3 linked regions of the Oryzias latipes genome follow. The protein of the gene in region 3 binds, or shares a complex with, the protein of the main gene of each other region. Links are inferred from orthologs where the notes say so. Each region holds a gene or a part of one and is shown on either strand. Other genes may lie near its edges. The genes, in order: smc4, ncapd3 and ncaph2.

The links.
Region 1: the proteins of ncaph2 (region 3) and smc4 are in contact, whole or in part, in a cryo-EM structure (PDB 9F5W), measured with the Homo sapiens proteins. The link is inferred for Oryzias latipes from reciprocal best matches to the Homo sapiens genes NCAPH2 and SMC4. Residues at the interface, in NP_689512.2 of Homo sapiens: Arg494, Ile495, Trp498, Glu499, Thr501, Val502, Leu505, Leu506, Gln509, Glu510, His512, Phe547, Cys550, Arg551, Met553, Leu554, Leu557, Gln558, Ala560, Asn561, Tyr563, Val565, Glu566, Ile567, Gln569, Leu573, Glu574, Ala576, Val577, Asp578; in NP_001002800.1 of Homo sapiens: Ile100, Leu101, Gly102, Pro103, Ile112, Gly113, Pro114, Ser117, Gln1151, Met1152, Leu1155, Phe1227, Lys1228, Ser1231, Ile1232, Phe1235, Tyr1236, Glu1239, Gln1240, Asn1253, Asn1254, Phe1256, Glu1257, Arg1261, Gly1264, Ile1265, Tyr1266, Lys1267, Thr1268, Tyr1269.
Region 2: the proteins of ncaph2 (region 3) and ncapd3 are in contact, whole or in part, in a cryo-EM structure (PDB 9F5W), measured with the Homo sapiens proteins. The link is inferred for Oryzias latipes from reciprocal best matches to the Homo sapiens genes NCAPH2 and NCAPD3. Residues at the interface, in NP_689512.2 of Homo sapiens: Trp22, Ser68, Lys69, Glu72, Tyr75, Tyr79, Leu82, Asp83, Ser86, Ile144, Ile145, Pro146, Leu147, Leu148, Met150, Ala151, Leu152, Val153, Asp156, Glu159, Asn161, Asn162, Asn163, Pro164, Leu165, Tyr166, Ser167, Arg168, Gly170, Leu173; in NP_056076.1 of Homo sapiens: Arg589, Pro591, Met629, Glu680, Arg683, Tyr684, His690, Lys724, Glu793, Asp800, Gln803, Arg804, Arg807, Gln817, Leu820, Gln865, Leu866, Cys867, Pro868, Ala869, Arg870, Val871, Val918, Ile925, Lys929, Leu932, Gln933, His934, Ala956, Asn960.

Annotation. Positions count from the first base shown.
Region 1 is NC_019871.2:13,486,548-13,496,932, reverse strand, and holds the start of smc4 (structural maintenance of chromosomes protein 4), read right to left. Parts: upstream 5,554-10,385; 5' UTR 5,510-5,553; intron 5,432-5,509; 5' UTR 5,375-5,431; intron 4,231-5,374; 5' UTR 4,221-4,230; coding exon 4,079-4,220; intron 4,058-4,078; exon of another isoform or gene 3,895-4,057; coding exon of another isoform or gene 3,825-3,894; intron 3,149-3,824; coding exon 2,958-3,148; intron 1,633-2,957; coding exon 1,441-1,632; intron 487-1,440; coding exon 310-486; intron 1-309. Other genes in the region: ift80 (intraflagellar transport protein 80 homolog), read left to right, coding at 6,415-6,451, 6,856-7,077, 9,268-9,378, 9,503-9,571. UniProt on the Homo sapiens protein: Central component of the condensin complex, a complex required for conversion of interphase chromatin into mitotic-like condense chromosomes.
Region 2 is NC_019873.2:3,921,436-3,931,720, reverse strand, and holds part of ncapd3 (condensin-2 complex subunit D3), read right to left. Parts: intron 9,942-10,285; coding exon 9,808-9,941; intron 8,466-9,807; coding exon 8,393-8,465; intron 8,318-8,392; coding exon 8,192-8,317; intron 7,457-8,191; coding exon 7,204-7,456; intron 6,053-7,203; coding exon 6,014-6,052; intron 5,299-6,013; coding exon 5,215-5,298; intron 5,123-5,214; coding exon 5,046-5,122; intron 4,749-5,045; coding exon 4,614-4,748; intron 3,755-4,613; coding exon 3,534-3,754; intron 1,892-3,533; coding exon 1,700-1,891; intron 1,590-1,699; coding exon 1,492-1,589; intron 1,412-1,491; coding exon 1,302-1,411; intron 494-1,301; coding exon 386-493; intron 1-385.
Region 3 is NC_019881.2:24,032,609-24,042,993, forward strand, and holds the start of ncaph2 (condensin-2 complex subunit H2), read right to left. Parts: upstream 6,417-10,385; 5' UTR 6,166-6,416; intron 5,649-6,165; 5' UTR 5,599-5,648; coding exon 5,491-5,598; intron 5,174-5,490; coding exon 5,072-5,173; intron 5,002-5,071; coding exon 4,940-5,001; intron 4,854-4,939; coding exon 4,775-4,853; intron 4,670-4,774; coding exon 4,613-4,669; intron 2,244-4,612; coding exon 2,164-2,243; intron 2,094-2,163; coding exon 1,844-2,093; intron 1,773-1,843; coding exon 1,701-1,772; intron 1,464-1,700; coding exon 1,400-1,463; intron 1,326-1,399; coding exon 1,224-1,325; intron 1,125-1,223; coding exon 1,080-1,124; intron 1,011-1,079; coding exon 940-1,010; intron 867-939; coding exon 752-866; intron 681-751; coding exon 606-680; intron 378-605; coding exon 331-377; intron 1-330. UniProt on the Homo sapiens protein: Regulatory subunit of the condensin-2 complex, a complex that seems to provide chromosomes with an additional level of organization and rigidity and in establishing mitotic chromosome architecture.

The sequences.
Region 1 (10,385 bases), on a different chromosome or scaffold from region 3:
TTTTCTGACTGTTTCAAACCATGATGCGCTGCTACAGCATTCTAAGGTCTTGCAGAGGGCAACCCCTCCCCAGTTCTTTTCTATGACACCACAGCATATTCCATGACATTTCCAGACATGGCCTACAGGTACATGAGAAACATTTAAGCAAAAAAGAACCTGAGAATTGCACTAAAAAAAATAAAAAAATAATAATAAAAAAAGATAAATGACAGAATGGCATGATTATTCAAAAAAAAATAAAGTTTTTTGGACTTGCAGGATAAGAGGAAAAAAGGAAAGAATACAAGAAAAACACTAAATAATTACCTGTAAAATCAGAAACCTGTTGTGGTCGAGGTCAATACCGTGACTTCGTAGTAATGCCCCCACTTCTTTAAATGTGGCTTTCTTGCCATTGATATGGTAGGCTGAGGAACCGTCTTTGTTGGCAGTCCTGGAAACGTAGAATTTGCTGTTGGGGATGACTTCGTAGTCATCTCCTTCCTGGCTCGGGGGGGGGGGAGGGGCAGAAGACACAGCAGCTTAGAACAGAACAGTTCAGGAGAGGCTGAAACAGCCCAACACGTCAAACTGTTCCAACACTGACAGATTCACTTATTAACAAGGCCTACATAGAAAAACACACACATAAAATATTGTTTATGAGAATGCACTACATCTATAAAGGCAAAGGATAAGATAAAACACTAAATGTGTATTGGAGTGTATTGCATCGTAAGCTTCCTAAACTTGTAACTACAAAAGATAAACGGATTGGGTAAAAATGTTTAGTTGAAAGAAGAAAAAAGGCTATTTATTTAAGGCCGTGTGCACATCGCTGAAAGAAAAAACCCTGTAGTTTTAAGGAATGATTGTAAATACAAAACTGACAGATTTCTCAGTTTGTGCCAATTTTAAGACAAATCAATGTTTATTAAAAAATACACAACATTTTAGCTTCAGCAGTGTGATCAAATTCACAGTCCCTATGGCTAATTTAATTTATAAAAAATTTTCTAATTGGGGGGAAAATGTAGCTCACAGTTGGTGGTTACAGCAGCCTGTTATTACATCCTACCTAAAGCAAACACTACTGCTTTTTTTTTTTTTTTGCCACCATGAAAAAAAGCAGAGGCAATAAATGCATTTGTTTATCTCTTTCCCTTCATTGCCATCAGATCAATTTTAGGGCAAAATGACTCAAATGTGGCACGTGTGGGAGTTCCAGTAACTTTCACAACTGATTTAAGTTTACACTTGGTCACTAGAAGAAGAATTGAGCAGCAATATTACTGCATTAGAAACGACAAAGAACAAATACATTTTAAAAATTCATTTTTGCCCAACTAAAATATTTCTGGTGATTTTTTTTTTGTTTGTTTGAACAACAAACTGATCATTTTAGTGAAGTTTGTATTTGTGTGTAAAAAAAAAAAGTGTTTATAAATATCTGTATACCTTATCAATGATCTTTTGAAAATGCACCTCCACAGTACAGCTTTGCACATCTTTGTGTTTATCAGAGCTGTGAATCAACACTGAAAGCTTTTTTGATCTTATCTTTTGAGCTCTGTATCCAAACACAAAGAGCATGGAGTCTATCACATTAGACTTGCCGCTTCCATTTGGACCAATGATGCAGGAAAAGCGCTGGGAAGAAATTAGGAGACAAAAATAAATAAATAAAAATGAATGCATCATCCATATGAAACATACAAGAGATTAAGATTCAACAACAGCTGTCAGTAACAGCGATGACACCACACACAAGTCTAATATAGATTTAAACACTTAAATTTAGCAATATGAAACTTGCATGGACATGAGGCGACTGAAAAAGATTTTTTTTAAAGAAAAAAACATTTAAAAAGTTTCATTAAATGTGATTACACCAGTAGATTTTCAGAAACTGAGAGAAACACTAAATCAAAATGGAGGAGTGTGACTTCTTCCTCTTTTTTTAAGGATTTTTCTCTCTAAACATTTTTACTAATAATCTTATTTTTTTATAGATTTCAATAAGACACATTTATTAGAAAGGTGACCTAAGATTTCAGACAAGAAAAAAAATAGTATCAAATGAATAAGACTTGGATAGTAACAGTTACACTAAATCAGTGACGTGCAGTCAGGAGAGGCAGGTGAGGCTGTGCCTCACCTGTCATGGGAAGAAAAGAGAAAAAATAAATTCAACTATTATATTTAATCAGTAATTTGTGCTTTGCAGTCATTTTCCATTTAAATGTACCAATTTTGGGTGTTTTTTCTTTTCAAAATCGCTGAATTTCCGCATTTGCCGTTCAGATACTAAGAAGTGACGTGCGATGAGGCACCAGCCCGCTGAGCCTCACCTTGGATTGCGCAATACCTATGCAGTCAGACGGTACTGCTGTCTCTCTGTATGTCGGTTCAATCACTTGTACTGTATGAGCTGAGTTTGCATAATTTAGCAGATGTATATGATGTACAGTGTTTGTTTTTATAAATAACTGTATGTGAGGGACGTGTTTCTTGTGCTGAGCGCTAAACGCCGGCGAAAAAGCCGCTGGGTGAGGCCAGAAGTTCCCGTGCCTCACGTTAGGGGGCGCCGGTGAGCCTTGAGATTATGACGCTAAAAAAATAATAGAATAAGTGATAGCAAGCGGCAAGTCATTTTCTTCCGAAAGAGCGGCGTATGGACTTTAGTTACAAGTAAAGGTAAGACGATAATAATGTTTGTGCTTTTTTCTATGCTGCGTTTTGTATATGAAAAAAAACATGTTGAAATGATATTTTAAACAAAACACCTTAACTGTTGTCAATCAAATGGAGAATAAATTAATCAGTATGGTTCATATGTTTGTAAATCTGACTGATGACGTCAGTGCCTCACCAGCCATTAACCTCACCGCACGTCACTGCACTAAATGTAATCTAAGTACATAGTTAAATATATTCAGGACACATGGTAGATTAGAATCAAGTTTTGGTCGTACCTTGTGAAAAGGCCCCAGAATCTGCTCGCCTGCGTACGACTTAAAGTTGCGGTTCACTAAATGTGTTATCATCAGGCGGGGAGCGCCCGGCTCATTGGTCATTGCTGGGGGCGGGGGTGGAGGGATGCTACCGAGAATCTCCTCCAAACTTCGATTATCGACCGCCTCGGCAGCCTCCCCTTCTGCCGAATCTGTGGCACAGAAAAGGGCACTTTTCAGTTTTTCTGTGCGAATCGCTTCAGGTGGGGAGTGGGGGGGGGGGGGGGGTAATAGGGACGGGACAGTGGCCCATGGGGGAGGGGTGGGGGGAGAACAAAAACAAACAAACAAAAACACAGTCGGCAAGTCGCACAGACAGACAAGCGACTCCGGGGAAAGTTGACAGGCGTCGTTTTTTTCCCCCTTTGTTCAGAAAGCAAGAGTCAAGCCTCGGATCGGACATGAACGAGCACACATCAGTGCTCACAAACGCAGTCTCTCTCCGGTTTGATGCGCCACGGACACCTCCAGGATAAATGAAGTGCGTTTATATCAGCGACGTCGTTACTACACCCAGCTAAATGAAATACAGACAGGAAAAACTTTTCTGCATGAAGATCTACAACGATCTTCAAGAATCGGTTCAAAATCTTTTGTGTTCTCATATATACAAAAGAATTGACGGTGTTTCAAAAATAAAGTATAGCAGCTAGACATTTAGCGGAAAAAAAATTATTAAACAGATTCATGTACCAATGAACTTCAACAATTGCATCTTGAGAGCAGCACACGCGCTGTTCAAAAAAAAAAAAAAAAAGTTGCAGGCATGATGAATACAAATCCCGTTTTTACGTCACAACAAAAACACACCATTTCGAAGCAAATTACCTCGTTTGCCGTCAAGATCGGGCGAAGAAATGCATTCGACGATATGAAAATCATCCTGGAGTGATTTCATTTCTATGTTGCACTTTAGAAAACGTCTCAGCCATCCCAGCTACTCTTTTCAATTTAAGATAGAGGAGGGGAAGGAGCTTTACAGCTGTGCCAGTTGGCCTCTAGCAATACTGCAATACACGCAGAGCCATTGACTGAACAACTTATTTAGATTCACAGACACCAAAACAGCCTTTGTTACTTGCCAGTTGTCGGTGGTGCCTCCTCTTGGCCATTGGAGTTAGTTTCTTGAGGGGGTACATCCAGATCACCCTCAGACACATCCTGCGACCCTTTTCCTCTTGGCTTGGTAGAGGCGGTTGAGCTCTTTGCGGTTTTGGATGGCATGATTTGAAATCTAAAGGGGTCATTGGTAAAAAAATAAAAAAATAAATGGGGGGGGGGGGGGGGACACATGAGTGGTTTTTGTGTCTGTCAATCTCTCAACTCCACTTTACGGTCAGTCACACACAACTAATGTGTCAGGAGTTTGCCATTACCAGTCAAATCTTACTGCCGCCCTTCCTAATAATATACCATTGTGTTTATTATTTGTTTTTTCCTTCCAAAAGTTTAAATAGTTGCTAAAAACAAAAACATGGAAAAGTGTGTTACAGCGATTTTTATTCATCTTAACACTACTAGGATCAAAAAAAGGTTAGCTTTTAAAACAAATCCCCGTAAAAAAATGTTACAAACTAGCCAACTACAAAACTTTGGAAAAATGCTTTTTGGCCTTAACCGTTAACGTTTAACGGTGGGTAACAACGAAAAGGAAAATAAAGTTTACGTCACCCATTTGAAAAAAAAAAAAAGAAAGAAAGAAAAAGAGGGAGAGAAATTCGTGTCGAGCCTTGAATTGCTAGTTTTCTATGATGACCACTACTGAAAGCGCAGCTCAACAGATAACAGTCGAACTTGCAAACTAGCTTTCAGTCCCTGAATTCTAATGTTCAGGGCGGAATGATAATTTGAAGTTGGCCATCTAACGCGATTTGTTAATGTATTCGAATAACTAACCAAACCTACAGTACATGCAGCATGATTTAAGAATGTTTTCGTAATCGTTTTGTTACCGGATGACTATGTCGCATTAAAAGTTACTACGATTTTTTTTCCCTCGGCTAATAGTTAGGTTAGCAGGGGGGAGGGGGGGTGCTAACTAATCATTATGTCAAACTTAGCATCACAGAGCAGACCGACATATTACCACCTTTAACTGGTATAGGTTGTAATAAACATATAAACAGTAATGCTATAGGGGCTTAAGTTAAGAATCCATTATTGTTGCAATTATTAAAAAACGCTAAAAAAAAGTCAATAAGTAGTAGTAACACTATCAATGTCCTGCCAATGCTATATTTTTTCCTTTTACTTTATTTTAAAACATAGTTGGATTTGTGGCTTACTTAAAGGTTTGTCTCAATTTCAACGACCGCTATGAATTTCAGCAAATAGACGGAACCCAGTAAATATTTTTTTTCTATTTTTTCTTCATGTACCTTCCACAAATGAAAAAAAAGTCCTTCGCTGATTTTCTGTTTCGATCCAGTCCAAACCTTTCAAGAAGAATAGGTTAATCCAAGGTCTAGCAAAAAATACACTAAAATAGTCCACAAAATCGTGTGCCGTATCACCCGGAGCCGCTTCCTTTCTCGAAAAACTTGTCTTGTAAATGGCGCCTAAACTGCGCCGTCGAACCAAATTCGTTATAAACTCTCGCAAAGCATCATGGACCTTTCAAATGGTAGTGTGAAAAAAACACAAAATTCAAAAAAGGGGACGAAGCCAACTCCGCCTCGCTCCACCAGTGATAAGAAAGGCGCAACAGTAACAAAGCGATAAATGACAATTTCATAAAAAGACATCACTTACGATTTTCATTTTTTGAGTAAGGATATCTTTTAAGAAAAGAGTTGTGTTTTCAGTACTGTCGAATCATTCGGTTACTGTAAAATAAAGTCCCGCCCCATGGAAACGTTTATATTATTTTTTGGAAGTGACCGAGATCATCAACACATTATTCAGTAATAACGCAAGCCTACTTTAAAGATCATTTTCTGAATGAATTTGTATTAGTCACTCAAAAAGTAAACCCTCTATAAGTACACGCTGAGGTTGCAAATTGTTACAACTCTCGCGATGACTTGGCTGTCAACCGTTCACTCATCCGAGATTTCATGGCTAAAAAGTTAGCTTCCATACGTCATGAAAACAAAACGCTTCTTCATCAACGCTGCTTGACCTGGTTCATTTGTATCGAATATTCGAACTATATCAAATGACTTTCACACATTGATAAGAGGCACATAAAAGAAGTGCGGTCATCAGAATGCCCCCCGTGCGATTTTAAAAGGTAATGATTTTAGTTAGTTAGCTACAGTGGCTGCCTGGTAACATAGCAACTAGACGCTTGTTTGGTGTTGGTGCATTTTCTCTCTTTGTTGGATTTTCCTCTAATGTTAAGCTTGACTTAAGAGTTGATTCAAAACTGACATACGTGTGTTTTGTTTGTTTAGGATTCAACAGAGAGACAAGAACAATGAGACTAAAAACTACGCTGCAGAAGGAACCAAAACATATCCTTTAATTGCATCGTGATCCCTCTTGTTTTATAACTTATTGCCTTTGATTTGAGCTGAATGGCAAAATATTTTGAAAACTGTGACATTTCACGTTCCCGTTTTAATAGTATTATTGCTGTTCTTCAATTTAAGATTGTTTTTAAATTATTTTCTGTCCTACATTTCTGCAAACTAAAATAAATTTCTGCTGATAAGAACCACTGCAGCAATGATAAACCTTGTCATTTGCATTTTCTACTGAAAAAAATGAAGACAAAACAAAACAAACAAAAAATAAAATAAATAAAGGGGTTGGGGGCAGGTTCTCCAGATTCTAGGTATCTATGTAGAAAACATGCAATCAGCTGAATTTGTAATATTTGTCCTTTTTTTTATTATTTTTCTTAACACCAGCTCACATAAGGATCTTGTAAGTTGTTTAGGTTGGACCACAGCCGATGAGCTGTACTCATGCAGTGATGATCATCAGATCCTCAAGTGGAACCTGGTGAACAATGAAACCAATGTGGTCGTCAAGCTGTCAGAGGACATCTACCCCCTGGACATGCACTGGTTCCCCAAAACTGTTGGTGGGAAGAGACAAACCCAAGCTGAAATCTTTGTCCTCACCAGCACTGATGGCAAGTATTTTATAAAACCCACTCTGCATCTTAAAAAGCAAATGAACAGTATGTCCATATCAAGTTGTGAAAGACTCAATCAGCCGTTTTTAAATATATTTATTTATTTTACAAAATACTGCAGGATAGTAAAAAGTTTTAAGTAACCAGCCATGCTGTGACTCTTTTTTTTAAACTTCAATCCATGAAAATAAAATGCATTTTTATCTGATATTAAACTTGGACTTCACTGCATAAAAATTCCATTTGCCGTTTCGCAATGTGCCAGATGCGTTTCAATGATGATTGGCCAAAACCAAAAAATGTTTTTTTTCAGTGCCCATGCTTTTATGACGAAACTGCATGTTGATTAGAATTATGTTCCTGAAAGATGCAAGACTTTTTATGCTAAAGAAGTTTTGTGGGTAGAAGAAAAAGTTGCTCTGCCTGAAATATAATTTTTTTAGAGACGTGAACTTTTTTTTTTTGCAGAAATCTCTGCTGCTTCCATCATTATGGATGTTGAATTTGAATTCGTCAGGTGTAAATAATAATTTGTCTACACGAAAAAATGTTGCTTTTGAAACCCAAACTGCTGTGAACAGTTTTCCCTTTTCATTTTTTGACAGCATATGTTCCTATATATCGGTTTTTACATTTGTTCCTTCATGAATCATACCTGTTCTGTAATTCGACCAATGAACCCAAAGATCCCGGGCATCTAGCAATCATTATCTTATTTTTATCTTTTTTACAGAAATGATTTTGTGTTTGCTGGATGATGAGATATTCAAATACTTAATAACTTTATTGCAAGGATATTCTGAAATTCAGATTGTTTTTAATCCCAGTTCTACTGGTTCGTGAGCCCTGCCTCTCCTAGATGCTCTTTTTGTTAGATCATTCATTCATTCATTCATTCATTCATTCATTCATTCATTCATTCATTCATTCATTCATTCATTCATTCACTCACTCATTCATCTTCTAAATCTGCTTTGTCCCTTTCTGGGTCATGTGGCTGCTGGAGCCTATCCTGGCCACTCGTGGGCCAAGACAGGGGACATCCTGGACAGGTTGTCGTAGGGCTTTGTTAGATTATGTCCCTAAAAATGTTACCAACTATATAATTAGTAGCAGTCAGTTGTCTTCTTACCAACAGTTTTCCTCAGGAACCCCATAGAAGTCATTTATTTCAACATTTCAACTTTTATAAAGATGTGAGAATCCGCAGTTGCACTCATTACTTAATAAATTGTTTCCAGCGCAACTAGTGCAAAAATTAGTGTAGTGTCATTCATGATGCAACATAGATGTTTTGATGTTGCCTACTTTGAGCAAATGATAGTAATTTTCATACTTTTTGGGTAAATACACAATGGTTAATTTCTGTATTCCTTAGTTTGAGGATACCATACTGTTTCATTTGCCTTTGGATGACTTGGTTTGTCACTAAAGGCAACAATCCAGACAGTGCCAAGGTGTGTCATGCATGTTACGGTAGATATGAACACATAAGAGCATGATTGGACTGCTGTGGTAGGCAATATGTGGTCACAACTCTAATGGCAGTGTTGAATTGCAAAACGGATGCAGCAATTTACTTTGGCATGCCAGAGACTCGTTGCGATTCCCTTTTGCAACTTTCTTTCTCTTGCTTTCTTTAGTATAGTTTACACAAGCTAGACAAATAGCTGTTGCCATAAATACTACATGAAATATGAGAAGGGAAATGCATGACAATCATTTTTTGAACTACTGTGAGCCCTGACACATTTAGCAAAAGGATCAGTCTGTTATTGATCTTTAGCATTTTCTCAAATATCTATAAGAAACGTTTTCATGCTACAGTCCTGCAGCCCTGGTTACATATCTGGAATTTTCAATTTAATTCATTTGAAGTATTTTTAAAGTAAAGATTTTCTTTATTCATCTATTAATTGCAAGTAACTATTTTGGATCTGCAGTTTTTCCTTTTTTCTTTTTCAAATGTGTGCTTTTAAAACATTGTTTTGACAAATGTATGTTGCTCATCTGTTTAATATGTTGACTTAATTCATTTTGTTCTCCCATTTAAAGATGTATTGGTGCAACACTGCATTAATCAGTTTTGGACAGAGTCATTAGATCGTACTCGTCTGCATCAGGGCAAACGTGGACTGAAGAATAGTGTCACAATAAAGTCAACTCTTTTTTTTGGTTGTTTTTAAGGAAAGTTCCACCTGGTTTCCAAGATGGGGCGCATTGAGAAGAGTGTTGACGCTCACAAAGGTGCAGTCTTAGCAGGAAGATGGAACTACGATGGAACTGCTCTTGTTACAGGTTTGGATGTCGCTAACGCATACACAGCTGCAGTATAATAAATATTTGGTCAATTTTAGACAAAGAAACATATTCAATACACATTAATATTTTTTAAAGTAATGCTGCTTTCTATGGTTCTTAGCTGGAGAAGATGGGCTAATCAAGATCTGGTCAAAAGTTGGGATGCTGCGCTCAACTTTAGCCAACCAAGGTAAGGCTAATTGTTTTGTCTTAGTTTTACAGCCTATTATCCACTTAATTTTATGCACTTTGCAGAATTAAACTCGAAATACAGCTCTTAGATCATGTAAAAACAACTAAAATGCTGAAGAACTGCCTAAAAGTCAGCTCGTCTTTCTTATCCCACATTTTCTTGGACTTCCCTCATACTTGAAATCTGACCGTTTCTTTTAGCTGACCTTTTATACAGGTTTCTTTTTATTTTTGTTCCTTTTGCTTGATCAACCTATGAAAGATCAAATAGAAAAGACAACAAACTCAAGACATAACTAAGTGTTGTGTCTGCAAAATCCCAGCCATTTAAAATCTTGTGAAGATGACCAGTTGCAAAAGCTGATTGTTCATAAAAAGCAAAATGTCACCCAGAAACTTGGAGAACTTTTTTACCATACCACCTGAAGAGATCGCAGTTAGGTATATCTTATTAGAATGACAGTAGAAAACATTTTGGATGTTTAAAGACCCACTCCCATGAAATATGTGTTTTTGGTGTTTTTAACATGTTCTTTAGGCATTTTTCTCATGATGGAGGCCACATATAAAGAAACCTAAGCTTAAAATTGTACTTTAGAGTGTTTCTTTATTCAAACAGTTGTGAATCAAGAGCAGATGAAAAAATGCAGTTTCAAAGAGAGCGTATTTGTGATGTAGAAAATAAGCTGGGCGATCCATTTTGATCCCTCCACTTGCAGACAGATAGATTCATGTACGTCTTTGTTTTCCTCATCCGAGCTGGCATCAAAACTGTACGGCTGGACAGCTCCCATATTGCTCGCCATTTTTGT
Region 2 (10,285 bases), on a different chromosome or scaffold from region 3:
GATATCATTTAGCAGGTAGAATAATGGATGCATTGCCTATGCCCTCATAAGGCCATCACCTTTATGCACCTGCAGCCAGGTGTGGTTGTGTCTGCTAAGTGTGTTTGGGAGAAAAGAAGGTGAGGGCAGAGAAACTGTTTTGGAACCACAAATATTTCAGTTAACCCTTTGAGAACTTTTTTGTTCTAGGACGCAAGTCCACAGCAGAGAACGTAGAGACTGATGTATCTTTTAGAAAGAAGCTTTGGATCCCCATGAGAACTTTTGTATCCGAGTGTAATTTGATTCAACAAATAAAAAGAAAAATCATTTTTGGTGAGGGACAAGTGACCACCAACTTGCAATGACAGGAGTGTGGTTGAATAAGAGGGAAAAGCCTGCTCACCATGAGCTCTTCATCAAGGTCCTGGGCTCCATTTTCATTGAGGATGACAGCGGATAAATAAGCTTCACAAATAGACACGAGCTCGCCACAGTGCTGGTTTAGGAAGGCCTGAAGACAAGAAACCCAAAAAGTCCTCAAATGCAAAACGTTTAACAGTTTGACAAAAAACGAAGTAAACATTTTTGATATGAAAGAAATGTTAAACTCCATGAAACTTAAAAAAACAGATAACAGAATATGAGCTTAGAGTGTTGTGATAATGTGAGGATAACATCAAAGACACAGATGGACACAAACACAACTCAGATGAACATAATGCACAACATCCACACACACACACACACACACGAGTCACAACGCAAGGGGGAGACAGATGCCTACCACAACAGACCCACCAAACTAGTGACACAAACACTTGGTAACAACTCAATCTCTCCATGATCTATCTGTCATCTTACTGTGGTTGGGTGGTTGAGAGCCAAAGTGATTCTTGTCAAGAGAATATGTTCTTGTATGATTATGTTTTTGGGCTTGCAGGCAGGGACCTGGTGGCTGTGCCTCCTCCCACAGAACCAGCTAGGCTCGATGCAGAAAAACCACTTCAGAATGCCACTAGAGATTCGGTGTGAATGTGAGTGATTGTGTGACAGACCAGCAACCTATTCAGTACCCCACCTTTGCCCAACAATAACTGGTATGGGCTCCAGCAACCCCGTGTCCCTTACAGGGCTTCATTGGGTTTGAAAAATGAATGGATGATATTTCCTGTCTAGTTGGACTCTGGACTCTCATTTTTAACTTGGACAACAAGCCAAGTATGATGAGAAAGACCCTCACTTTTGGCTACTCGCACTTCTTGTTCGACAAGTAAACAAAAACGAATACATATTTTTTAAAACAAGGTTTCTTTCCAAACCTGGGTCTCTTTGATGTTCTCCTGACAGCCAAGCTGATAAAGAGTCTGCACGGCTGTGCTGATCAACTCAAGAGACAAAGTGAAACTCTTCAACAAAGACATTAGATCCTCTGAAAGAAGAAAAGTGAGGGAGGGTCATCATTCTCCAGCTTCTTCTAGTGAAGTCTATCGCCTTTCCACAATCATTTACCAACTATCCTGTTCTTGGTATCATCATTTAAATGAACTGCAACGTCTCCCATAACAGATAGAATGTGACAGAAGGTTGTCACGTCGACATCTCTTGATCTGCAAGAATATAAAGTAGATTTTTGGGTAATTAAACAAACACAATTGGATCATCAAAAATGACCAGTACCAAAATGTCTGGAAATGATTCAGGTAAAACTCGTGCTCGCCTGATCGATGCGTCCCACGAGTCCAGGATTTTGCCACATGGGACTTTGGGACATGAAGTGGCGACCTTGGAAAGCAGCAGCCAGGCCCCTGCAGCATGATCGGCCTTAAAGTGTGACATCAGGTTTGTGATGAAAGCCGGCGTGAACTTGTTCTGCTTCGACCAAATGGTGAAGGCTCTGCTAAAATAACGGCTGGAACAAAAGAAATGTTACAATTAGTCTCCATCTCCTTTTCTCTGGCAAATAGACTGATGTGATCGTAAAGACACACTCACATTAAATTGAGGTCTATATAGCTTTGCTTTTGGTCAAACCACAGCCCGTTTGCTGTGGTTGATACAGATCATTGAAGGACCCACTCTGCTGTTAATGGGGATTTTAACATATAGGATTTTTCTCATAGTGGAGGACATATGTAAAGAAAATTAAGCTCACAAATGCATTTCTTCATTCACATTGTTCTGAAATAAGGTGTAGATGAAAAAACGTAGTTGTAGAAAGCTTGTGGTTATGGAAAAGCTGCAACCTGCAAGTCACAGTCCCCCTGCTCTGCTCCATTCTGATCATCCACTGTCAGACACATAGATCCATGAACTTCTTTATTTTCCGGGTCTGAGCTGGAATCTGGATCAGAACTGGACGGCTGGATAGATCTGATGTTGACCACCATTTTTGTTGCACTGCTAAAGATAATTGTGAGGTGTGCGGGGGGCTGTAAGCTAGCAGGAGTGTGAGTGTAAACAGAAGGATCATGGGAAATGAAGGCGGGCTCAGTCAACACCAACAGTCCCGCCCACATCTCAAAGGGAACATTTTTGATAAACTCCTACGCTCTGCAAAAACTATGTTATAGAAAATTACAGGTTTTTTTTAATTCCATATAAAAATGAAACAAAAAACCTAAATAAAATAAAATAAAAACAGACTGGGAACAATCTTAAAATGGATCAAAAGATCAGACTGGGGCTTTAAGATGATTCTTTTAAGGCAGCCAGTAAAGTGCCACAGATTTTCCTTTAACCCATAACCTTCATAAAGAAAAAGAAAAAAAATTAATAAAAAGAAATGGGGGGGGGGGGTCTGACTTTTATGATGAGACGGATAAATACATTTAAAAAAATAAATAGGTCACAAAAACAGCCATTTTGTAAAAGTATTAATAAATGTGAATCTACCATTTCAAATACTTTATTAGCAGCTTTCTGGTAACATTAGACATTAATTATTATAATAATAATTATAATAATAATAATTATTATTATCATTAGACATTAATATTATAGTGTGTGGGAACAACGGCTGTAATAAATCCATATTTGGAGGAAAGACTGTTTTTTCTGTTAAATGCAGTTCTCTTATTTTGAAATTAAAGGCTCTTCTTCTGTTTCCTCTTTGCATCTTTTCTGCCAAAAGAAACTTTTCAAATACGTTTGTCTTTGTTAACTTTGCTAGTGGGTTAATATAGCATGATATAGCACCGGAACAGCCACTTTTAGAACGTAATGGTTGTATTTTTTAACGCATGACAGAGCGGCTTGATGTCCGTCAAGATTGTGTCAGATGTGGTGGAGAGAATCCAGCAGCTTTTTAAAATAAAACTTCAAAATCAGATTTTAAATAAAAAGGGTGTAGAATGTTTTCTTTCCCCTCTGCTGCCCGGTCCCAACTGTTCTATGGACCGATTAGGCCCACGGCTCAGGGTTTGGGGACCAATGTTGTAGAGTACTGCCAAGGGAATTAACATGGTGAGATCGACCAGTGGAGCATCACAGTAGTTGTAACTACAGAAAATGGATTTAGCTTAGTAAAAAGACCGGTTCTGGTCAGTTCTTACCTCAGGTTTCTGCATTCATGTGACAACAAGCCTAGCAGATCCCATGTAAGCCTCTGATCTGTGTCCATGTGATGGCCGCCATTGTACAGTTTGACTTGACTAAGCAGCACTTGTTCCAGAGCGTCCAAGGCCTTCTCCTGCACCGAGCTCTCAGAGTCCACCACAGCCGGCAGCACGCCCTGCAGCCATGCCTTCTGGACCGTGCTGCACTCGGCTTTGGCCTGGTAGTGACAGGACATCCAATGGCAACAGGTTTTTATTCCCATTTCCAGAGATGGGCAGTAACAAGTTACATTTATTTGAGTAACTTTTTGAAGATTTTTAATACTCCAACTAGTTTAACTAGTTCAAATGCATATTTTCTATGGAATTATTTGTGTCTCATAATAAGTCAATACCAGAAATGCTTTTTCATTTTCACAATAAAGCTGCATTTGTTGACTTAAAAAATAAAATTAACAATCCTCCAAAATGCTTTTTCCTTTTGTACTCCAACGCCGCTCATTCTGTGACATCGTTAAAGAGAAAAAGCAAAGAGGGGACTGCATTTCCATTTATACATCCCTCGCGCAAAAACTGTTGCATAACTTAATTCCAGTCAGCCTTTCCAGGGGGGAGGCGGGGCGACCTGTCCAGGGTGTATCCCGCCTTCGCCCAACAGTAACCGGCACAGCCTCCAGCTACCCCGCAGACCAGCGGGTAAAGAAAATGGATGGAAGTTCATGACACAAACCCTCGCATTGAGCGGCCACACTGGATTTATTTTTCTACCCTTTGATCGAGTCACTAAAAACGCCACGTGCCCAAACCTTGTCTTGCCAACCTTGCCGCGTCTGACGCCCAAGTCGCGCCGCAGGACCTCAGATCGCGTCCGTACGTTGACTTAACATTGAAATGTGAATGCAGCATTACATGCATACAAATTTTGGATAGTCTATCTCTCTTTACCCATTTTACAAAGAAAATACTAAACAAAGAGGCCATTGGCAGGAGAATTGGATTTTACACAGTTACCGTTTTAATCTGTTATTGTACAAGTTTGAGGGTTTTTAAAGTGGTTTTCTTTTGGGTATCACTCACACTGAGCAGCTCTCCAACACACTGTAAAGCCTTCTTCCTCACAGACACAGCTGGGTCTCTGGTGCGCTCTGACAGAGTCTCCAGATTCTCCCAGGTTGGGGGAATTACACCATGCTTCAGGAGACCTAGCAGGGCCTAAGACCGTAGTCAGAGGAACACATAAGAAGGTCAGTCCAGAAAGGTTCTATAGGGTGAAATGATCACTTCTGGCTGACCAACCCTGGTCATCAAAAACCCAAACCCAGCTGTTTTCTAGCTCTCCCTGCACCGCTTGCTGATGATGATGATGATGACCAGACTGTGGAATCCCTGCAGTCAGCTCAGCAGCAGCTAGCGGAACAGGGAAAGCTGGAAAACAGTCATGGGTGTGGTCTTTGATGACCAGGGTGGACCTTTAGTTTCCTTTATTTCAAAACAAAAACAGTAAAGCACCTGCAGCGCTGCCTTCCTGACATTTGTCTTTGAGTCCTTTACACGGCGAAGAAGAAGAGCCAGGTTTGCCTTTGCCGCTACAAAACATGGAAAGAGTCTTTTATTACAAGATGGTCGACAGAGAGCCACAGGAGTGTTGACGGAGCCTTTGCACGTGCTAGAATCTCACCTTCAGAGCCTGAGCCGTCAACACAGCTGATCTCCACCGTCCTGAAAGGCAGGCTTTTCATGCTGCTCTGCGTGCACGAAGGTACTGCAACACAATCCCATTTGCAGCAACAGTTACTAGAACAGGAGCAACAGCAGCCTGGGCCTTGACATAAAGCTTCACTGAGGTCTTGACATCGGTGCTGCATTTGTTAAAGACCCACTCCAATGAATGGGTGATGTTAACTGCTCACCATTGATATGGTAATTGCCCCAGGATTCCTGCATGTTAGCCTCTCACCTTACCAACCGAGCTACCCAGCCGCTATGATAAACCCAGAGATTAATGACCGATTAAAAAATAAATGAATTAATGGCGTGTTGTATTTTCAAATAGCAACAAGCCTCTCAACTCATCCGAACTAAAAGGAGCTCCGCCTACATGTCGATATTACATCTGCAGTCTTTTTTTTTTTAAATCATCAGACCTGAACACTAATCATTAAATGAGAGTAGTGCGAGGATCCTACATCTATCTATCTATCTATTATAGCTCCTGCTTGATCCTGTTCAGACATGGGAAAACTTGTATTACTTGCCAACTTTTATGTATCATGTGTGATTTAATAGGCTCAGTTTTATTATCTGTTGGCACTTTGCTTTTAAATGAAAACAAATAAACTAGAGGCTTACTTGATTGGAGTACCAAATGTTTTTAGCGATTTGAGATTCTTCAGAGAGTTTTGACTTTTTTTTTTGGCTGTGAAGTGAATTTCAAACAAGCCTCGATGCAACAAAGAAAAAGCAAAAGGAACCCAAACCTCCTGCGAGTTCACTGTCCAGCACCGTCTGAGTCCCAGCTGAAAATAGAAGATAAAAGTCTGCTTTAGTCAATGGATGAAGACAACAAAACAATGATAATGTTATTTAAGTTTGTCCAAGTACTCTGTACAACAAACCACAAACATATGGAAAACCACATGAAAAAAAGCATTGAAAAGGCGCCCAAGTCTGCCTTACAGGTTGAATAGCATTAGGTATAAGATTTTGTAGTGTTGATGAATACTAAACAAACTCCAAATGTTTAAATATCCTTCAATAAATCATTTTATTTAGGGGTGTTGGAAAAAATAGTTTCGCCAATATATCGTAATAACCGTGTTTTACTGTGAAGCACTATGTGATTTTTATTTTGAAAGGAACTGTACAAATAAAGTTTATTATTATTAAAGTTTATTATAATAGTTTATTTGCCCTCTACAACAGTGGTCCCCAACCCCCGGGCCGCGGACCAGTACCGGTCCGTGAGTCATTTGGTACCGGGCCACACAGAAAGAATAAATAACTTGCATTACTGTTACATCAGTCCATGTCATTTTTGACGCATTCCAAGGCGCTATTCTCGGTCACGTGATAAGTATAAGTTACTGGTAAAATAAAACCCAGCAGCTAGTAAAATTAGTAAAAAAACAAACGTCTCTGGAAAGTTTCTTTGCCGAGGGGAAAAGGCCCAGCCAGGAGACGGAAGAGGAGCCTTCCACTTTTAAAAAAGAAAGCTATATTTAATTGACAGTACTTGTTTTTTGCGCCATGAGAGTGTGGGAAAGGGAGAGGATGATGAGACCTGTGCGATGTCAACTGTTAAGCGTGTCAAAATAAAAGCACAGGGCTCGTCTTGTCACGAAACTCACTGCCACGTTGCTGCCAGTATCGTATAAAGCTATCTGGTGGGGGGTTTTTCCCTGTTCAACATCGGGTTACGTATCGTATCGCCAATACACACCCCTAATTTTATTGTCTTACGTCAGTTTCAGGGAACAGTTCAATAAAATTCATGAAAAAATATTTATTATATTCATACTCAATACTTTGCCTCCATTTATTTGAACATTTTTATCTAGATTTAATTCTACGAGGATGAGTCACTGTTAAATTATTTTTGTATTGAAAGCATCAAATGATGTTATTCTAGTTTATGCCCATGGTTATAAGCTTGTAAGTATGCTCTTACTGCCAGAGAAGAGGTTGTGGACGGCCCTGGTGACATTGAGGGAGGGCAGCTCCAAACACTGAGCCAGGCAAGAAAGGGCGTGGCCTTGGACGGTGGGAGAATCATCCATCCTTCGAGCAAACAGCAGATCCTGGATCAAAAACCTCTGTGGCAGAAAGATGGCAAGCTCCGGATCCTGAGATTCCTCCAGCCGCCTCTCTGTCTGCTCCAGCAAAGCCATGACCACGTCCACGGAGAACAGTCGATGGACCATCTGCCGACAGCAGGGCAACAAGTCAGCACTGAGGTTCTAGCGGCAGCTGGTGATGAGACCAGACTAAGAAAAGTCTCACTCCATCATCTTCTGAAGATCATTCCCAGTGGGCTTTGAATTCTGATTATGCCGTTTTTAGCACAAATAAAAAAAAACCTGTGTTTTCTAGGACAGTTACTGCAGTGCAGCAGTAGTTCACAAGAAATTCACCTCCGAGTTTTGGGTGGGACCAATGGCATGGAGAAACTGTACACCCCTTCCCCTCCCCATTGCTGAGAGCTCTCTGTTTACATCAATTCACCAGGGGATGCATCAGAATAGAGAGGAGCTGGGAGCTGTGACCCACTCAGCGTATTTTGTACGTCACAAATATGATATTTTTCATCTGCTCCCGATTCACAACAACTTGATTAAAGAAACACTCAGAAATAGTTCCTGTCAGTCCTAAAATCTTCTGGAAAGGTTTAAATTCTTTTTAAGTGTCAGCCCCCAAAGATCACCTTAAAAATCAGCTGTTTTCCATCTAGTAAAAATAAAAGGCCCCTTTGCAAAAACATATTATGACTATTGAGTTCCAACTGTCAATGTGAAATAGCAGGACACTACATCATGAAGTCTTTCCTGAACTTCATTTAAAATAATAAAACAGTGCTGTAAATACAGAAATGCTAGAGACCAAAGTTTTCCTGCATGGAGCAGAAATATGTCATAATATTTAGCCATTTGTACACTTACCTTTGGTTGTCTGGAGAAATTAAACAGCCATTTAATGAAGCGGCTGTAATCTGCATTTTCCATCTGAGATGTCAGCATTCCCACAGCCTGGGCTCCGTGGCTTCGGTACTCGCTTTTCTCCACCATCTACATGCCGACACAGCAGAATCCTGTGAAAAGAGCTGTTGCCAGCTCAGCTGATCCAACGTCTTCATGACTGACCTGGAAGCAGATGTGCTGCAGCAGAATCTCCAGGAAAGGTTTCGCCAGCTCCCTCTGCTCCTCCACCAAATGACTGGAATCACATTCAACAGTTCAAACGTCAAAGACATCCTGTAGAAATAATAGAAAGGAAGCGCACACACGCTGCTAACTTTGGTGGCGCTGCAAAAGCACACTTCATAGGTTTGTTGATGCCTCTAAATTGTCTGTTGTCTGTGTGTGATGGACTAATAAATGGCCTAAGATGAAGTCCAGCTGCACCTTTCAGGAGATGTGGAAAGGCTCCAGCATCCCTGTGACCCTGAACGGTGCATATAGAAGATGGATGGAAAATACAAAAGAGCTATGAAAACAGGAGAAACAGATAGAGGGAATGGATGCATAGATACGGGTATAAATAAACAGATGAGCATTAGGCTAGCACACTGACTATATGTGAGAACTGGACTGAAACTAGTGTGACGTCACTCATTGAAAATGGTTTACTTCTGGCTCCAACCAAACCAAGTCAATTCATTTGCCATTTCTTGGATGCCACCTCATTGGAACCAGACAACATCCAAGTCGGACTGAGTCCGTGTTCTATGGTGACCACCCTCTCCAATCAGGAGTGAACTTGTTGGAGGGCCACACCCCTACCACGTGAAAGCGGGAGAATCTGTCAACTTACTTTTATTGAAGTATCTGACTGGTCAGTTTATACTCATTCAGACTTGCAAAACAGAAAACAAAAAATCCAAAAATATGCTTAAAAAAAGTATCAGACCAAGAAAGTTAGAATAACCGGAGTAAAAGCAGTTTATTTCTCTATAGAAGTCTATGGGATTTTGGTTTCTTGAAGCCAGCAGGTACTTCCTGTTTGGAATGCTAGGGGGAGGGGGGGGGGGGTCACTCAGTCCAGTTCTCTTATACAGTCAATGGCCTAGAAAGAAAGCGTGAGAGAAGGAAAATAAAACATTGCCAAGGAGGAAGGGAAAAATGCATTCTAGGAGATAAAAATAATGAAGTCAAACTGTGTCTAATAGTTTAGGGTTTCAATTGAGCTGTTGAGTTGATTGTGGTAAAGATCTGGTGTAAAAAATGTTTCACATCTGAAAGAATTTCCTTAAGAAAACTGACGTTTTTTCATTGAGACGCTGCCCTCTAGTGGTCATAGGAATATATTTCAGAATGAAGGTTCAGATTTACAGGACTGTTGCTTGAATGTAAAAAAACAAGAGTATAACTAATGGACATCAGATGACATCACTTTAAATAGATTTATTTTACTCTAACATTTAAGAAACACTTGGTAAATAAAACAATTCCAATACTACTGCAACTATTCCAGGAACCCCATGTCCTACCCACCAGTCACACGCGCACACACCAACCATACTAAAAGCAAAGACAAAGCAAAAATTCAAACCTCTCACCTTACAAACTGAATGGCATAATCCCTGATTGCCAAAACACTCCGACTGAGAACACGGAGGACCGGTTTCCCTCGACTCTCTTTATTCATCATCAGTATGGCATAGAGCAGCTGATGGAAGACGCTGCGCAAAGACTACACAAAGAACATTGTGTTATCATGATCAATCCATGCCCTAAATATGCCACAACTTCCATTTTAACATGAAGTCAGGATACCACAAATTATTTAAATTGCATTCACCAAATTTTGTAAGAATAAAAGGAGAACAAAGGTTAGCATTTTTGGTAGGAAACACAAAAACCCTCATTGCAAACATAAGATTACACATCTGCAGCTCCTCTGATGTTTACTGCATTAAACTGAAACCTTTCTTTCTGTTATGTATCATTTATGATGTACAATTTTGCAACACAAAACCTCGTTTTTTCATTCATTCTCATCAACATCAGACATTACGCCATTTATGATTAACAAAT
Region 3 (10,385 bases):
CCCAGCGGGGAATCAACAATGGTACTGGGGGCAATTACCATTACAATTAACATCACTCAGTGGGGCAAAACTTAATGCTACTGCCTCCCGAGCTGCAGCTCACAGCTCCCCCAGGGGATGGGTCAAATGCAGAGAAGAATTATTGATAAATAAATTATTTATTATTATTAGACACCGTGGCCCCACCAAATTGCACATTTTAAATGTGGAGGTGGGCGGAGCCATGAAATGGCCAACGCCCTTCATTCATCTGACGTTTAATCCACCAGAGATTCATTTGACCCTCGGGCCGACCCAGACAATAAAAACGGTCAACGGCAGCCGACTCACCACCTGCAGCTTCACCAGGTCTTCGTAGGACAGCTCATCCGCCTGATCTGCAGACAGAAGGAGAGGCTGAGACGTGCACACACACACGTGCACACATACAGGGGTGAGACAGACTTAGCCCCGCCCCGTTTTCTTCTGATGCAAAATTTCAACCTGAAAACTAGATTTACCCAACCCCTCCGTGCCTCAGGTTTTTCTACCAACCCAAATCCTCACCAGTCCGGTCAAAACCGGACGGCGGGACCATCAGACACCTGAAACCGGGTCAACTTTACCTGCAATGTGCTGAGCTCCTCCAGCAAAGTCTGCAGGATCTTCAGGAGACTCTTCCTCTGAGAGGTCGTGCTCTCCTGCACACACTGCTGGTCAGACGTGGTACTGCAAGCGTTGGCGTCTCACAAAGATGCAAAACCTTTTTTACCAAACATGTCAGCGTCCCTGAAGGCGTCTGCAGGCTCATCCCCCTCCTGCTGCAGCCCCACCTCCTGTGGCTGCAGCAAGGTTCTCCTCAGCTCATCCTCTGACATCACCAGACCCTGGTGGACGTCATCCTAATCATCATCATGTTCAGGTCCAGACTGAAGGCTTGTAAAGTGCGGCAGGTCTCACCACTCTGCGATTGAGCCTCCTCCTGGTCCGGATCTTGTCCTTCAGTGACTTCAGGTAGATGTAGTTCAGGTCTGAAACAGGAAGTGGAGTCAGGAAAAGACCCGCCTCTCAGTTTGCCAGAGTCCTGATGTGCTGTGTACCTGTGAAGGTGGGTCCACCTTTTAGCTTGTTCTCCATAGGACCAGCTGTAGCACACGAGCACCCGCGCGCACACACACACACACACACACATGAGGATGATGATGTGGCTTTCATGAAACATCAGTGTGAGCAGTAGTTCTCACAGGTTCCTCTGAACCAGCTCCTGAAGTCCTGCAGAGGACAAGGGCACCTCCTCTTCCTCTTTCCTCCTTCATCCAGACCGTGTGGAACCCTGTAGCACCTCCCTAAGGAGACACACAACTGTGAGTGGACACAACTTTGTGTAGTGACACCCAGCTGAGGAACGGCCTTGACTGACCCATCCTGAAGGGCTTGTCGTGGGCGAGGACAGCGTAGGGGTCGTGGAGCGTCCAGACGTTCACCTGGAACAGAGAGACCTTCAGGTAGACGTTTACTTGTGGAGAAGCGTTTCAGAAAGTCCTGAGAACGAAGAAAGACGTCCTACAAACGCCTCTGACTAAAACGGGAGGACCGGCTTACAGCCCGGTCTGCACCTGACACCTTCACCTGAAGGCTGACAGAAACGAGGCAGAGGAGATGGGACTGCACATCTGCAGGATGAAGAACAGACAAGTGGTCTGTGGAATCAGGTGACCTACTGGAGGCGGGGCATCCTGCTGGGGTCTTTCCTCAGCAAAGATCTGCCGTTTCTCTCGGACGCCGCTCCCAGCCTGCAACACAGCCACAACAAGTTCAGGTTCTGGACCGTCCAGGTGGAGCACCTGTGCTGTTCTGATGAGACCTGGTGCCGGTCCACATGCTGCTCTGGGTCCTGGTCACTTCTGTCTTCTGGACGGCAGTCTTCTCCTGCCTCAGGGGGCACGTCTGCACCCATGGAGGCATCAACAGAGGAATCCTGATGCAAGAAGTTGGCGGGATGCAGGTCCAGCTCCAGCGCAGAGCGCAGCCTCAGTAAGACCACGCCCCCCTCCCCCGGGAAGAACAGGTTAATCCGAAAGTCCCTCTGGCTGCACAGCACCTCCCCCTTCACACTGACACACGAAGAGACGGCTGTGAGCAGAGCGCACGGCCCGGCGGGTCAGACCCTGCCGCTCCACCCACCTGATGAGGGGCAGCTTCTGCTTCTCCTGGCTTTCTGGAGGAATCAGAGACTCGGGAGGAAGAGGAGTGACGACCACGGTCTGAGGGTCACATGACAGCAATCACACGCTTACGGCCTGTGTACCTCCCAACAGGCAACACCTGTGTACCTCCCAACAGGCAACACCTGTGTACCTCCCAACAGGCAACACCTGTGTACCTCCCAACAGGCAACACCTGTGTACCTCCCAACAGGCAACACCTGTGTACCTCCCAACAGGCAACACCTGTGTACCTCCCAACAGGCAACACCTGTGTACCTCCCAACAGGCAACACCTGTGTACCTCCCAACAGGCAACACCTGTGTACCTCGCAACAGGTAACACCTGTGTACCTCGCAACAGGTAACACCTGTGTACCTCGCAACAGGTAACACCTGTGTACCTCCTAACAGGTAACACCTGTGTACCTCCTAACAGGTAACACCTGTGTACCTCCTAACAGGTAACGCCGCGGCCTCTTTTCTGAAGACACCGGGGGGGGTATTCCAGGAAGCAGGTTCTGCTAGCTCCCACGGTAAGTTTGAGGCTAAGGAAGTTGATAACCTCAGCTTTCGGTTCCAGAAATGGAGGTATGTTTCAGGGTAGGTCAAGTTGCCATAGCAACTCATGCTCTGAACATAACCTGGTCTGGAGCAGGTTTAGTTGAAGGTTAGTTTGTTTTCAGAGAGGTGAAGCAGCATGGCGTGTCCATTTGAAGATGATTTAGTGGATGAAGAAGCTCAGATAATACTTTTTCCACCATGAGAGAGTGATAAGACCACATATGGATGTTGGAAAGAGAAACTTTATACTTTGATCTAACTTCATTATTTGCTTCAGTTAAGATAAATCATTTTTTTTGTTAAGTTAGATTAAAAATAAAACGTAGTTTTCAGACAGTTGTTTTACTTTCATTCAAATTAATTCAATTAAGTAGGTGCTGTTAGATCGGCACCGCAAAGGATTGTGGGATACCATTCCCTTTGCCTGTCTGGACGGATTTGGATTTAAGTGTGGCTTTGTGACCAAATGTGTTTAGTTGTTTAGCTGTTTTACTGTGTTTTGTCGAGTTATTTTGTCCTACTTTGCTTACGTCTCTGCACCATGAGTGAGAGGGAGGGAGAGGATTATTGATTATTTAATCAATTTATACACTTTGTGCATTTTGTTTCGTCCTTTTTATTGTTATACAAATGAGAATATCTGCCGGCTCAAACTTAGACATTTGAGAGTTCAAGAAATATAATTAAGATGGAAAAAATATTAATTGAATTGGAGTAATATGACATTTAGTTAGATAAATACGTAAATTTGAGTTGCATAAACAATTATTGAGTTTTATAGACGTAAGAAATTACGTTGAATAATTTTAACTCAATTATTTGTTACCAATAGAAGTAATTCATTTAAGTTGGCAAAATTGGATAAGTTATATATATATATATATTTCTGCGTCACAAAGAAAATGGAAATAAGATCAGAAACTCGTGCGTTTACTTTGTTCTTTGTCTCCAAGCAGAAACTCTCTTTTGCTGATGATGCAGCCGTGTTACTTTTTTGATGGACGTATAATCTTCATACGGCGTCATTAAAATCTCAGACTCCGTCTCACTGAAGTATAGCGCTTTCTTTTTTTCCACGTGTTTCCATGGTGACTCCAGAAAGCGGCGATCCATTGAGAATGTCTTTATGTACCTGCTGTGCACGTGCATTAACCCAGGGTTACCAAGTGGAGCGTGATTACGTTAACTCATATCCGGTCTTTTGGAACCGACATACCCAGAGTAAGCAAGTTCGGGTGGATTTCAGCCAGAGTTCAGGCTTAAAGTCAGGGAAGTTTAATCATGCTATCTGGAATATTCTTCCTGGAATTTAAAAAAGAACTGGACATAAACTGCTCATGTTATCGTTCCTCACCAGAAACTGTGCCTCATCAGTTTTGCTCTTTCACTCCAACATTTTGGAAAGATTTGACTCATTTTAGAACAAACCCCGTGAAACTATAAATGATTCTATGAACATATTTCTGGATATTTTACACGAGGGAGATTTAATGCAGAGAAAACATAGATAGTTAACTTACTTATAGTTATGGTCAAATATTCCATTCATACGTGTAAATATGCTAACAAAAAAAACGTATTTTCCTAAAGAAATGATTCTGTGTGTCAATAGCTGTTGGAACAGTGGAAACATGGTCACTGTTGAGACTTTATTTCTGTTTTAGTGTTTTCTGCCTGTTTTTATTATGGCTTTTTGTTCATTTTCCTGGCAAATGTGAACATTTTGAGTTTTGTACAGTGTCAATGTTTGATATTTTGAATGTGCAATATTTGTTAATAAAGTTCATTTGAGGAAAAAAAAAACCTGCTTCCTGCCAGACAGGAAGTTGAACCCCAGCTCGCCCATGGATAGGAAGCTTCCTCACCGTACTCAGACCAGACTGATGCCAGTTCTGTGACTGATCCAGGTCCAGAGGGCTGAACTGATGTAGACAAAAACATCTCATGTTACCCAACATGCTTTGCAGCAGCTGCCAGGAGTAGGCAATCAACAAAACAGGGATTAAACAGGAAGTGACTTTTCTTACCATATCCTGGCCATCATCGTCCCTGTTGCTCGTCATTCTGCTTCCGCCGCTCTTCTCAGTCTCCGCCTCCTGGCTCCGCCTGTCAGGTGGACATCGGTGGACACGGGCAGAAGAACAGTGAGGCCCTGGACAACATGGCGGCAAAACTGCTTAAGCAGAACTGACTTCTTGTTTTTTTCACTGATGAACTCCAGCGTCTGAAAAACCAGATGATGCAGCAGCTCCACCTGCAATGGTCAGAGAGGCTCCATCAGTGGTCCATTTGGGTCACATGACCCGTCACATGACTGCGCCCACCTTCTTGCTGTAGATGCAGGCCGAGCCCTGAATAAGCAAAGCAGCTTCAGCGAAGTTCAGTCGGGTTTTTCCTCCGTCGAAGGTGATGCACATCTCATCCAGCTGCAGACACACAGGGAAGTTAACGTGTTACCTTCACAGAGGGGGAGCCACTGTGGGGAGGGGGGCATCACATGATCACAGCAGCCAATCAGAGTCAAGCTGCACTCCGCCTCCTTCAGTGAAACCAGTGTTTTCATGATGAAGGTCATCTAAATCTGTTTCAGGTTCATCTAACTCAGCTGCTGGGAGTCCAGGTGATTCTGAATAAAGCTCCAGCAGGTGTGGCTACCTGGTTCTTGGTCAGCTTCAGTTTACGTCAGAGAAGCTGGGGTTCTTCTGAGCCCCCCCCAAACAGGTGGCGCTCGTCTCCGTCTTACCTCGTCCAGGTAGTCGTTAAGCTGGGACGCCACGTCCACATCCCAGTTCTTGGTCAGTTCTCTGATGGGCTGCAGCAGGTGAGCAAAGCGGCTCTCTGTGGACTCCATGATGACTCCGCCCCCTCCAGACTCTGGAGAACTCAAAGAACGGGTCGGATCTGCAGGAGGGAACCGGGACAAACACTGAAGGGCGTTTGGGCCACGGATAAACCACCAACCCAGAACCTCCATTCTGGACCCAGAAGAGTGGAGGCGACCAAAGACTCCAGTGTGTGTCTGAACGTCTCACGAAAACGCCTGAACATCTCAGAGAAACGCCTGAACGTCGCACGAAAACGCCTGAACGTCGCACGAAAACGCCTGAACGTCTCACGAAAACGCCTGAACATCTCAGAGAAACGCCTGAACATCTCAGAGAAACGCCTGAACGTCGCACGAAAACGCCTGAACGTCGCACGAAAACGCCTGAACGTCTCAGAGAAACACCCGAACGTCTCACGAAAACAACTGAACGTCTCAGAGAAACACCCGAACGTCTCATAAAAAACCCCGAACGTCTCATGAAAACACCTGAACACTAACAACTCTGTTCTCTAGTCTGCACTGACTGTCGGTCGGTGTCCTCACGTCACTGTCGACCTTCTAAACTCCGGGAATGAAAAGTGGAAAGTCTACCTGCAAAGAGGGCAGTTCTCCAGCAGAGCGGGAAAGCAGTCAGACGTCCGTCACCAAAACACCTGTGGAGACGCACGCGCCCACAGGGAAGGTTAAGCAAAGGAATTGACCGGACTTAACGCTCGCGCCTGTTTCCACTCAAATTACCCGCGCGGCCGGAAGTTCTTATTCGTCGCTCTTGTTTGGTGTCTGCTGCCCCTGTGGCCGCGGGGCGGTACTGCACCGGGAATGATTTCGGATCAGCTCAAACGCAGTCAAACGGACCTTTTCCTGTAATATTCAGTGAAATAAACCTGTAGCAGAAGCTGTGAATAAAGTTGAACTGTTGACAGATTCCAGTTGTTAAACGGGTTGACGTGTTTACATCAATCAGGTCAGAACCAGCAGAACCACCGAGTAAGCCCAGGCTGCAGCCTGCAGAATTGTCTGCAGCCTGCAGAATGGCTCAACGTAGTGGAATGCTGGAACGCTGAGGAATGTGAACACGCTGTGGAATGTTAACCCCGCCCACGTTGAGCCCGTGCATTTGATTCACCTTCATCAGTGCAGTTGTGATTGCAGGAAAGGGGAAGAATAAGTGGAGCACATTTTGTGTCATTGTGAATTGAATGAGGAAGAAAGAGGACAGAGGGGAAGAAAATTTGAATGGTGCAATGTTTTTTTATCACTCAAAAAAATGATTCAAGCCCCTCTTTCATGTAACACAATATAATTGTGTTTGTTTTATTTAAAAATATTTATTTTAAAAGAATTTATCTACATTTAATTGACCTAACACAAAATGTATTAATAATTTCCCCGACAACTCCAGTAATCCAGAATAATTGAGTTCAAGTAAGGGGCATGCTGTTGAATGCTGTTTTCCTGTTTCTCTTTATTTATTCTTTTTGCCGTCTTACGGCAACAATTTTTCACCTATTTTAACTATTCAACTATTAAAATGTTCAACTCCTTCGTCTAATGCCTGGTTTGACTTTTGGTCCTTCAAATCCTTTGACTTTTCAAAAGTGAAAACTTTCGTTCGTTTTTTCCACGTAAAAAAACGAAACTGTGCCATGAAATCGTTTCAACTCGGCTTCTCCCAATAAGACGAAACACGACGAGCCTCATTTATGTAAATAATAAATCTATTTATTTTTACAGGCGGCTTGAAAACATCACAAAAGTGTTAGCTCAGTGGATTAGTTAGTGGGTTTAACATCCAGAGGTTCTGAGTTCGAGGCTGGCTTCTGATTGCTGATGCATGTTTTTTTCCTTTGCCTTTCTTGATAAAATTAAGTTCGATTAACTCAATTATATTTCGTTACATGGAAGAATTTTCTTTGAGGTGGGGTTACTCATATTTATTGGATGGAAATCCTGCCCACAATTAAATTGAGTTCATCCAATGAGTTATTTTTTTGAGTCCGTGAGGCCAGACAAAATTTATTAACTCCCTAATACATGCACATGGAAACTTGTAAAAGGCATGAGAAGACAGCAATCACTGTATAATTTCTCTAATTCAATTAAAAAATGTTTTTTTATTTAGCGCCAATTCGAATTACAGACGTCTCAATGGGCTTCATACCGGTAATTGTAAGGTAAACATACAATGAAAAAGGGATCATGAACACAAAGAATGCATTAGGATTAATACTAAACCTTAACAAAACAGATTAATCTAAACTGATATTCCTGCCCTTAGACCCCCCCTTCACGGTAAGGAAAAACTCCTTAAAAACTGGTAGGTGGCAATATTGCACATGGAAACTTGTGAAACCAAAGAAGACGGGCTCAGCGTGGGCGGGGTTAACATTCCACAGCGTGTTCACATTCCTCAGCGTTTCAGCATTCCACTATGTTGTGCAGTTCTGCAGGCTGGAGCCAGGGGTAGTTGGAACCAATGAGTTCTATCACTAGAGGAGACATCACGTGGTTCCTCATGGGAAGAGAGCACCGCCATCTTGGTGAGGTCAAGTTACTACTGCAGTGCATGTGAACACATTTTTTGCATAATACCAGTTCATTGTTTGGGTTTCAACTGCCAAAATCAGAGAAATGAGTCCATGAAGGAGGAAGGCATATAATGTTACGGGTAAGTATTTTGATTTTTTTAGGGGCTTCATTAATCGTACTCATGTACGGGAGCCGGTTTAGCTCGTGCTGGTTTGCGGCGCCTTCCGTCCGTGAAACCAGGGTTCGACTCCGGGCTGCTCCCTGTTCCCTTCTCTACCCCTGTGCCGGTTCCAAGCCCGGTTTGAGAAGGTTGCGTCAGGAAGGGCATCCGGCGTAAAACATTGCCAAGTTTACCATGCGACTTGTTCGCTGTGGCGACCCCTGATGGGAAAAGCCGAAAGAGACACACATTAATCGTACTCATGTAGACATCCATGATGCTGCAGGGCTGTTATCAACATGCTGCATGATGTACGGATAATTTCCTGTCGACATAAATGTACATTTTATTTTGCTAAACCTGTATACAGCATACTAGGCTATTATAGTAATATAGATTTATACATTTCTGACTCAGTGACTGAACTTTTCTTGCAGGTTTCTAATGGATTCAGACTTCAGGAAAAAGTGGGCCTTACTATCAAAAGAACTAACCCAGATGGATCACTGTGGTACCAACTAGTAATACAGTCTGGATAAGTTTAAAACATTTGTGGAAACAGATTTTGATGAGAGGCCAGACTGTTTGCTTGAAACCTGACACCAAAACATCAGTGTTACACAAACTGATCACTAACATGAATCAGTAAATCTATTGTTTTTCCTTGTTGTTTTTTTAGGGTAAATCTATTGTTTACTTTTGGACTTCTTTTGAATATTTATTTTATTATTGTATTATTATTATTTTTATTATTATGATTATTATTATTATTATTATATACTTTTTTCATTATTTATTGACTTATTATTTATTTATTGTTTGTATTTACTTAATATTGATTTATTATTATTATTATTATTATTATTATTAATTATTATTATTATTATTATTATTATTATTATTATTATTATTATTATTATTATTATTATTATTATTATTGACTTATTGTTGGGTTTTTCTAAATAATTTAAATTACATGTCAAAGAGGTATAAAACTTCTAAATATTTAGAAATTATTTTTAAAATTTCTTTGTAATAAATTTTTTATTAGTAAGAAGTCCTGCAACAATGGATTTTCATTCAAGTTTGAGCTTTTAAGGCTGACTGTTTCTCTTCTTTAACAACAACAAATGACATATCTATATATTATGTATAAATATAATGTATTTACATATATGTATAAATATATATAAATGTAAACATATATACAGTACATAAAAGCTACTTAGACACCACTAAAAGCAATAGAAATCATTGTCATGTGGGCGTCGTCCACCTCACCAAGATTGTGTCGCGCTTCGCCACCGTCGGCCAGGCTTCTAAAGCGGGCGTGTCTCCTCTAGTGTCTCAGGTTTATTCTTCCATCCATCTACGGCAGTGTTCTGAAACCCAAACAAACCAAACCAGTTCCACCTGGGTCGTTAATAGCTGACCAGTTTGGGGAGGGAGTCACTGGCTCCCCAACCCCCAGCTGAGGACAAAGGACTCTTAACGACCTTAAACCATGTAGGCTAAGTTGACAATACCATCCAGTTTCAGGTCTGACTCCTCCCCCATGAGCGCATATATACCAGCTTTTTGACCAGCTAATTCAGAATTGACAAAACCTCTTGGATAAGAAGTGAAACGTCTTCTAACTTTAAAACCAAGTTCAGATGACATCCCCTAAACATACTACTACGTTTAAGTTTATTTTTTAACAATTATGTTTTTATTCATAAATGATTTTTTTAAACAAAATGTTTTTGTGTTTTAAAAACAATCTTTTTCTTGAAAAATTTCTGAAATGTCTTAAAAATAATTGATTATAGAGCTGTGGAACTTGAATCGTTTCTCTGGATGAATGTCGTCATTTCTCTATTTTATACTTTTTAGTTTGTTTTTCTTCTCATTTTCTCTTTTTTTCGGCTGACTTTGTTGCAGCTTTTTGTTTGTGACTTTTGTGTACATAAAGTGTCCAGATTCTGGTTCCCCCATTGCCGTGTTGTGCACATGGGGGTCCAGATGGGGGTCCTCTGTCCTCCTGTTTGCCTGTAACATCGGTGCAGCGGGTCAGAAGAGGAGATAATGAAGATGATGATGATGAAGCTTATCTGATCAGGGTGACGGTGAACAAACTGGA